2 linked regions of the Macaca fascicularis genome follow. The protein of the gene in region 2 binds, or shares a complex with, the protein of the main gene of each other region. Links are inferred from orthologs where the notes say so. Each region holds a gene or a part of one and is shown on either strand. Other genes may lie near its edges.

Region 1 (4,274 bases), on a different chromosome or scaffold from region 2:
TTTTTTTTTTTTTTTTTTTTTTTTTTTTTTTGAGACGGAGTCTCGCTCTGTAGCCCAGTCTGGAGTGCAGTGGCCGGATCTCAGCTCACTGCAAGCTCCGCCTCCCGGGTTCACGCCATTCTCCTGCCTCAGCCTCCCGAGTAGCTGGGACTACAGGCGCCCGCCACCTCGCCCGGCTAGTTTTTTGTATTTCTTAGTAGAGACGGGGTTTCACCGTGTTATCCAGGATGGTCTCGATCTCCTGACCTCGTGATCCACCCGTCTCGGCCTCCCAAAGTGCTGGGATTACAGGCTTGAGCCACCGCGCCCAGCCGCTTTGTGTTTATTAACAAAGATAGGTTCAAGCCTCACATAACTACTTTTCACTCACCGAATGTTCAGCAGGACATTCAGAAATCGTGTGTATTGCGGGATTTTCTTTATGTAGCATCATCTGTTACACTGTAGGACACATATTTTATATCCCTAGCTCTGGCCTTCCAATGCCTGTGGTTTTCCCAACCATTGTTCCGACCAAAAGCCTTCCCCAATGGACACGGTGGCTCACACTTGTAATCCCAGCACTTTGGGAGGCCGAGGGGGGCAGATCGCTTGAGATCAAGAGTTCCAGACCAGCCTGGGTGATGTGGCGAAACCCCATATCTACTAAAAATACAAAAATTAGCCGAGCATAGGTGGTGTGTGCCTGTAATCCCAGCTACTTGGAGGCTGAGGTGGGAGGATGGCTTGAGCCCAGCAGGTCTAAGCTGCAGTGAACCCGGATTGTGCCACTTCACTCCAGCCTGGGGGACAGTGAGGCTGCGTCTCAAAAAAAAAAAAAAAAAACCAAAAATGAGGCCGGGCATGGTGGTGCACGCCTGTAATCCCAGCTACTCGGGAGGCTGAGGCAGAAGAATCGCTTGAACCCGATAGGCGGACGTTGCAGTGGGCCGGGATTTCGCCACCGCACACTCCAGCCTGGGCGACAGAGTGAGACTTGGTCTCAAAAAAAAAAAAAAAAAAAAAAAACACACACACACAAAAACAAACCTTCACAAAATTTTAAATGCTTAGTTTTGGGACACCATCTCTTGGAAATTTGTGGTGAAGCACAGTATCCCCAGTAATTAACATAGTGCTTAGAAACAGTGGAACCACAACTCTTTAAAATGATTTAAAAGCATTTATGTCAGATAAAGGACCGCTGGCTAGCCCTCCTACGATCCATAGCTTCGCAGTCCCCAAACAGGAAGGCGTGATTCAATGCGCAGTAGCAAATTTAGGGTGACAACGAGATACATCCCACGGAGCCCGTGATTTCCTTTTCTTTGTTAGTTTTCAATTCCTTCAGTGTTACAGGGAGGAGCTCCGGCCTCCTCCGCTAAAGACTGTCGCATTTCCGCCGCTAGGCCGGAAAGCACCACCGTCCTTCCGCAGGCCTCAGTCAGCTAGGCCCAGCTCCAGCCCCGCCCGTCACCGGAAGTGAGGCGACGGAAGTAGCGTAACCCGCTGAGAACCAGCCGGCGGGGCGCTGTGGGTTGGCGGGCTAGTGGGATGGCAGATGAGGAAGAAGACCCCACCGTGAGTGACCGTCTGTGTCCAGAACCTCTCTTTTCTTCACTCCTTCGGGCTCAGTAGCGGAGGCAGAGTTCAGGATCGGATCTGCTTGCCTTAGTCAATTCAGCCGACAGAATTCGGGGACTTCACTCCCTAAGGATTGATCATTTTAGAAAGTGGGGAAGGACATGAAGAAAGAGTAGGTTTTGTGACCCCTTTCCCCTTGATTTTGATCTTTATTTGCCAGACACTGAAACACTTACAGAATCATCAGACGTCAAAACTAACATCTATTAGCGCTCACTATGAACCAACAGTTCAATTGTTAACAAAACTGTACTTACTGTGAAGTAATGGGAAAAGAATGCATTGAAAGTCAGACAGCCTGGATTTCAAAATCTCCATTCTCTCTAAGCAAGTTATTTAACTTTGACAATCAGTTTTCTTGTTACAAAATAGGGTTACGGGCTTACTTAAGGAACGTTTTTAGCACCGTATATGCAAATGCTTAGTAAATATTAGTTTTGCTTAATTGAAAGTCTACAAAGGTAGACTTTGATTCAGTATCAACTGTTTAACAGTAGCAATAGGCCACCTTAGTTGTTTAAAAATAAAACCTATGGTCATTGTAACTCTTACACGTAGAAGCAGTAGGATTATTTGTTAGGAACATTGTAGAAGCCATTTTTGGATGAGTTGGAAATTGGACTCGATACCTAGGCTGCTTACGTGCTAAGGTTTTGTGTTTTTTTTTTTTTTTTTTTTTTTTTTTTCTGCTTCCTTTAGGCTTTCTGGCCTATCTGTTGAAAAGGAAAAAACATTGTTATTATTAAAATATCAAATGCAAGGCAATTATTTGACATTTCTATATATACGTTTTCTAGTTTGAGGAAGAAAATGAAGAAATTGGAGGAGGTGCAGAAGGTGGACAGGGTAAAAGAAAGAGGCTTTTTTCTAAAGAATGTAAGTAGTATTTGACAATGATTTTGTTATAGATGATGAAAACTTTTGGACATATCCTTTCCAAGTACATTTATTGCTTTGAATGTTTCCCTGTAGTGACAATATTCTCAGACTAGCCTATCAAATTCTGTTTAGCTTTTGAATCAGATAGTACCAATCCTAACCCCAGTTATATGTGTGTGTATGTGTGTCTGTGTATAAATTGCTTTTTAGGTGAGCAAATGTAGTTCGTGTTTTAATTTAGGGCAGAAGAACATACCTCCATTAGTTTTCCTCTTGCCTTTGCAGCAGTAGAAAGAGAGGCTTCTTTGACTGTAAGCCACAGATACTAATGGATCCTGCACCAGGTGTTGAGGGAGAGTAGCAAGTGAGTTGGGGCTTGGGCTTTGGACTAAGGCTATGAACAAAGTAAGAAGGTGGTGAACAGCTGGGTGTAGTGGCTCACGCCTGTAATCCGAGCACTTTGGGAGGCTGAGGCAGGTGGATCACTGGAGGTCAGGAGTTTGAGACCAGCCTGGCCAATGTGATGAAACCCCATCTCTACTAAAAATACAAAAATTAGCCAGACGTGCTCGCTTGAACTCAGGAGGGAGAAGTTGCAGTGAGCCAAGATTATGCCACTGCACTCCAGCCTGGGTAACACAGCAAGACTCTGTCTCAAAAAAAAAGAAGAAGGTGGTGAATAGTGTAAGACATTAGAGTGACATGGAGGCTAGATGCAGTGGCTCACGTCTGTAATCCCAGCACTTTGGGAGGTCAAGGCAAGCAGATCGCTTGAGCCCAGGAGGTCAAGACCAGTCTGGGCGACATAGTGAAACCCTCTCTCTACAAAAAATACAAAAATTAGTAGGGCATGGTGGCACGCCCCTGTAGTTCCAGCTACTCTGGAGGCTGAGGTGAGAGGATGGCTTGGGCCCAGGAGGTGGAGGTTGCAGTAAACCCAGATTGCGCCACTGCACTCCAGCCTTGGTGACGGAACCAGACCCTGTGTCCAAAATAAATAAATAAATAAGCAAAATAAATAATGACATGGAGATTATAATGTATTGATTCTGCATCCTACCCCCTCAGTAGATGCTTTTGACCCTTTTTGGCAACAAGAGGAAGGGAGAGCTGCTGCTACTACTGATGGTACAGGCCAAGCCCTGGAACACAGCATGAGAATGTGCTCTCCATCTCCAGTCCTGGGTCCTTTATGTAAAGTTATATCTAAGTATTGAGAGATGAGGCAACACAGATTTATGAATATGGTTTATTTAGGCGGGGTTATATGTGAGCAGTTCCCAAATGCCCTTGAAACTACAGGGTCAGTATATCTTTTTTTTTTTTTTGCAATTAACTGGGCATGGTGGCGTGTACCTATAGCCCCAGCTATTCAGGAGGCTGAGGTGGGAGGATCACTTGTGCCCAGGAGTTCAAGGTTGCAGTGAGCTGTGATCATGCCACTGTACTCTAGCCCCAGTGATAGAAGAGTGAGACCCTGTCTCGCCACCAGCCCCAGCTAATTTTTTGTATTTTTAGTAGAAACGGGTTTCCCCATGTCAGCCAGGGTGGTCTCAAACTCATGACCCAGATGATCTGCCTAACTCGGCCTCCCAAAGTGCTGGGATTACAGGCCTGAGCCACCATGACCAGCCATACCCAGCTAATTTTTGTATTTTCAGTAGAGACTAGTTACACCATGTTGGCCAGGCTGGTCTCAAACTCCTACCCTCAAGTGATCCTCCTGCCTCAGCCTCCCAAACTGCTGGGGTTACAGGCATGAGCCACCACAT
Region 2 (3,511 bases):
CATTTGGATTGGCATAGGTTGTCCTTATGGTCAGCGACATTGCAGCAGGCGTCTTCGCAGAGTCTCTTTTCACTTTTTTCATTATTTGCATAGCTACATTCCTAGACGTGGCCTTGCGGGACTGTGGGAGATGCTGACTTCGGTGGCCATGTGACTGATGTGGCTGGGCCGCCCCTCAGAGCATGGCCCGGGGTTCCACTCCCATCCACAGGCCAAGAGGTGGTGCGTTTTCTTGAAGTTTAGAGGAGAAATATATGTATCTCTTATACATACGCATATTTTATTAACCAAAGGCTGTGACAAAAATCTGCCTTTTAAGATTTTTCACTTATGTCTTTTTACTTTAATCCAGGAAACTATGGAAAACGTGAAGAAATGTAAAAATTTCCTATCTACGTTAATAAAACTGGCTTCATCTGGCAAGCAGTCTACAGAGACAGCAGCTAATGTGAAAGAGCTCGTGCAGAATTTACTGGTGAGAAACCTTGACTTGACATTTCATTCCCTTTTCCCTAAGGCCTGTTGCATAGGAGAGACACCTATTGCTGCTGTGACTTGTGCCTGGGAGGCCTGTGCCAGCAAAGGGAGAGCTCCTCTGGAAGGCTGCAGGCAGAGGGGGGGGTGCACACCTGTCAGAGGTGTGTGTGGCCTAGCTGAGGAGACTCCTTCCTGGGGCTGGGTGTTCTGGGGCTGGTGCCTGGTGGTCTCCTGGGCTTTGCCATTTTCTGGTGCCTGTGTCCCTTGTCTGTGGCTCTCTTCTCCTCTGGCTGCCCCCACCATGCTGCACTCTGGCCAGGGTCCCTGGCAGCTCCCTTCTGGTCCTCTCCCCACTCCTGTGTGACCTCTTGTAAAATTCCCAGGTGTCCGCAGTCCCTGCTGGAACAGGCATTCTGCACCCTGAGCCAGCAGAAGCCCCCTCCCCGTGGAGCAGACCAGCTGAGGCACATTCGTGCTCCAGTGGCAGAGCCGTCCCCCCACCCCTGCCCCCACCCCTTCCGAAACCTCTGTCGCAGTGAACAGCACTCTGTCTCCTGGCCAGAACGTGGGAGGATTCCTGGCGGCCTCCCCTCTCCTTAACCCACAGTCCCAAGCTCTACATCTCTACTCATGGCCGAACTCTTGGCTCTCCACCTTGGCTCTCCCCATGGCTGTCTCATGGCTCAGGGGTATGCTGGCCTCAGTGGGATGGCCTGGGGATCTGGAGTGGCCAGTCTTTCCGTGCCTTCTCCTTGCCCGCCTGACCATGTCTTCCTGAGTCTCTCAGGGTTCAGTCCAGGCACCGCCTTCCCACCCTTGTCGCCTGTCTTCCCGACCTTTATGCCACGCTGGCCTCTGTTTCTGAAACAGGATCTGGCCCTCTTGCTCTGGGCTCCCTTTTATCTGACTGGACTCTGGGCACCGTGACTGCTTGCAGGGGTGAGCACAGCTGTTGTCTGCTCCTGAAGGTGCTGATGCCCTGACTGTCTGGATCCTGTCTGTGTGGCCCCTGGCACGCTGTGACCTCCTGTAGCACTGTGCTTGCAGGGCTGGCTTTGATAATGGAGTTACTTTTAGGCTGATCTGCCTCCTAGCAAAATGCCTGACACCGAATAGGTGCCTGGTAAACACTGAGTAAAGACTGGCATTGAGTAAGAGGCTTAGAAAAAGACGAGAAGTAGACAGGTGACCCTCCCAGGAGGAGACGTGGTCCGCAGCTGGCTGCACTGCGGTGTCCAGGGTGAGCGCCTGTCACACGTGTATCTGTGGAAGGTGTAGCACGCAGACTTTCCCATCTCCTCTGTCCAGTGAAACTCGGGGCGGAATCAGCCGTAAAATACAAGACCAGAGTGATGCGGGATTCAGAAGTGTGTGTGGAATCTCATTCACCAGAATTTCAACATGGATTTTATTTTTAAGGATGGAAAAATCGAAGCAGAAGATTTCACAAGCAGGTTATACCGAGAACTTAATTCTTCACCTCAACCTTACCTTGTGCCTTTCCTGAAGGTAATTTCGAAGGCCCGGGTGCTTGACGAGCAGCAGGGCCAGGGAGGGGTGGGGCGCAGATGCTCCAAGTGCACAGGGGTGAGGATGCTCCAGGCACGGAGGGTGCACAGCGCCTGTGCTCCCTGCGGGGGTGGGGCCGGGGACTCAGTGCCTGGGGACAGAATGTTGGGTGTTTTCTGTAAAGCAGGAGCTCCCCTGACACTGTGGCGTTGTGGTTCTGTTGTGCGCAAGGCGGTGAGAAGGGCGCGCGCTTCCTGAAACCGAGGGGAACAGGGAATTGGGGTGGTGTTTGCAAAACTGGATAGGACCAAGGGTGTTAACAGTGTCAGGCTGTCTGTTGGATAATCATTGGTATGAGCACATTTTAAAATTTAATACATATATTTGTACATATTTATGAGGTGCATGTAATGTTTTGTTACATTCATAGAATCAGGGTATGTGGGGTCTATCCCTTTGAATACTTATTTCCATGTGTTGGGAACATTCAGAATCTTCTCTTCCCGTGATGTTAACATATTTTAAAAACTATTTTAAAAATATGGCTCTTTTTGTTTGTTTTCTTAAACACATTTTGGACATTTGCTATCAGGAATAATCCCGCCTAGTGGGAGGGCGGGATGGGGTCCTGGCCCCTGACATCCAGACGTGCTGCTGTGAGGGCCAACATCCGTCTTAACTCAAAAATTTTCTGTAAAAGTTGATATTTCTGAATTTTTAAGCAAGGAAAACTGACGCATGAGCAACCCCCTGACCCCTCGTGTCTGTCTTTCCACCCAGAGGAGCTTACCCGCCTTGAGACAGCTGACTCCCGACTCCGCGGCCTTCATCCAGCAGAGCCAGCAGCAGCCGCCACCGCCCGCCTCGCAGGCCACCACTGCGCTCACGGCTGTGGTGCTGAGTAGCTCAGTCCAGCGCACGGCCGGGAAGACGGCGGCCACCGTGACCAGTGCCCTCCAGCCCCCTGTGCTCAGCCTCACGCAGCCCACACAGGTCGGCGTCGGCAAGCAGGGGCAACCCACACCGCTGGTATGGAAGGGGCACCTTACTGGTCCACACAGCCCACCGTGCCTCTGCTCCCTCCAGCTTCTTAGATAAATTGGCCATGGTTCAGAAACCTTTTCCAAGCATGCAGGAAGGCTCCTGCTAGAGGAAGCTTAGGCATTACCTTAGTTAAAATAGAAATCAGGGTTGAGGCCCTGGGATTTTGTGTTTTGTCTCAGTAAAATGAAATAGTTGAATTGGCTTTGAACCACTGGCACATCCCCGCCTTGTCTTGTCTAGGGATGTTACTGGTGTAAACGAATGCAGTGTGTTTTTAGAGGATCTTGTAGATAGATGTTCTCTTGGGTTAGGAGCAGCGGTCCAAGCGTAAGACACGGGCACCCGCGTGGGACAGGTGGGCAGGAGACTGGAGACGGTAGCAGCTCACAGCGCAGGGTGGATTTAGGTGGGTCCCGGGAGGCAAAGCTGCGGCTGCTCGTAGCGGTTCACGTATGTGCAATGTGGATCTGGCTTTCTTGGT

The links.
Region 1: TAF4 (region 2) and transcription initiation factor TFIID subunit 13 share a complex: the UniProt entries of both Homo sapiens proteins name them as parts of the TFIID basal transcription factor complex. The link is inferred for Macaca fascicularis from reciprocal best matches to the Homo sapiens genes TAF4 and TAF13.

Annotation. Positions count from the first base shown.
Region 1 is NC_088375.1:125,372,308-125,376,581, forward strand, and holds the start of transcription initiation factor TFIID subunit 13, read left to right. Parts: upstream 1-1,471; 5' UTR 1,472-1,533; coding exon 1,534-1,560; exon of another isoform or gene 1,561-1,734; coding exon of another isoform or gene 1,735-1,735; intron 1,736-2,322; exon of another isoform or gene 2,323-2,420; coding exon 2,421-2,499; intron 2,500-4,274. UniProt on the Homo sapiens protein: The TFIID basal transcription factor complex plays a major role in the initiation of RNA polymerase II (Pol II)-dependent transcription.
Region 2 is NC_088384.1:118,057,102-118,060,612, reverse strand, and holds part of TAF4 (transcription initiation factor TFIID subunit 4), read left to right. Parts: intron 1-352; coding exon 353-475; intron 476-1,896; coding exon 1,897-1,986; intron 1,987-2,766; coding exon 2,767-3,015; intron 3,016-3,511. UniProt on the Homo sapiens protein: The TFIID basal transcription factor complex plays a major role in the initiation of RNA polymerase II (Pol II)-dependent transcription.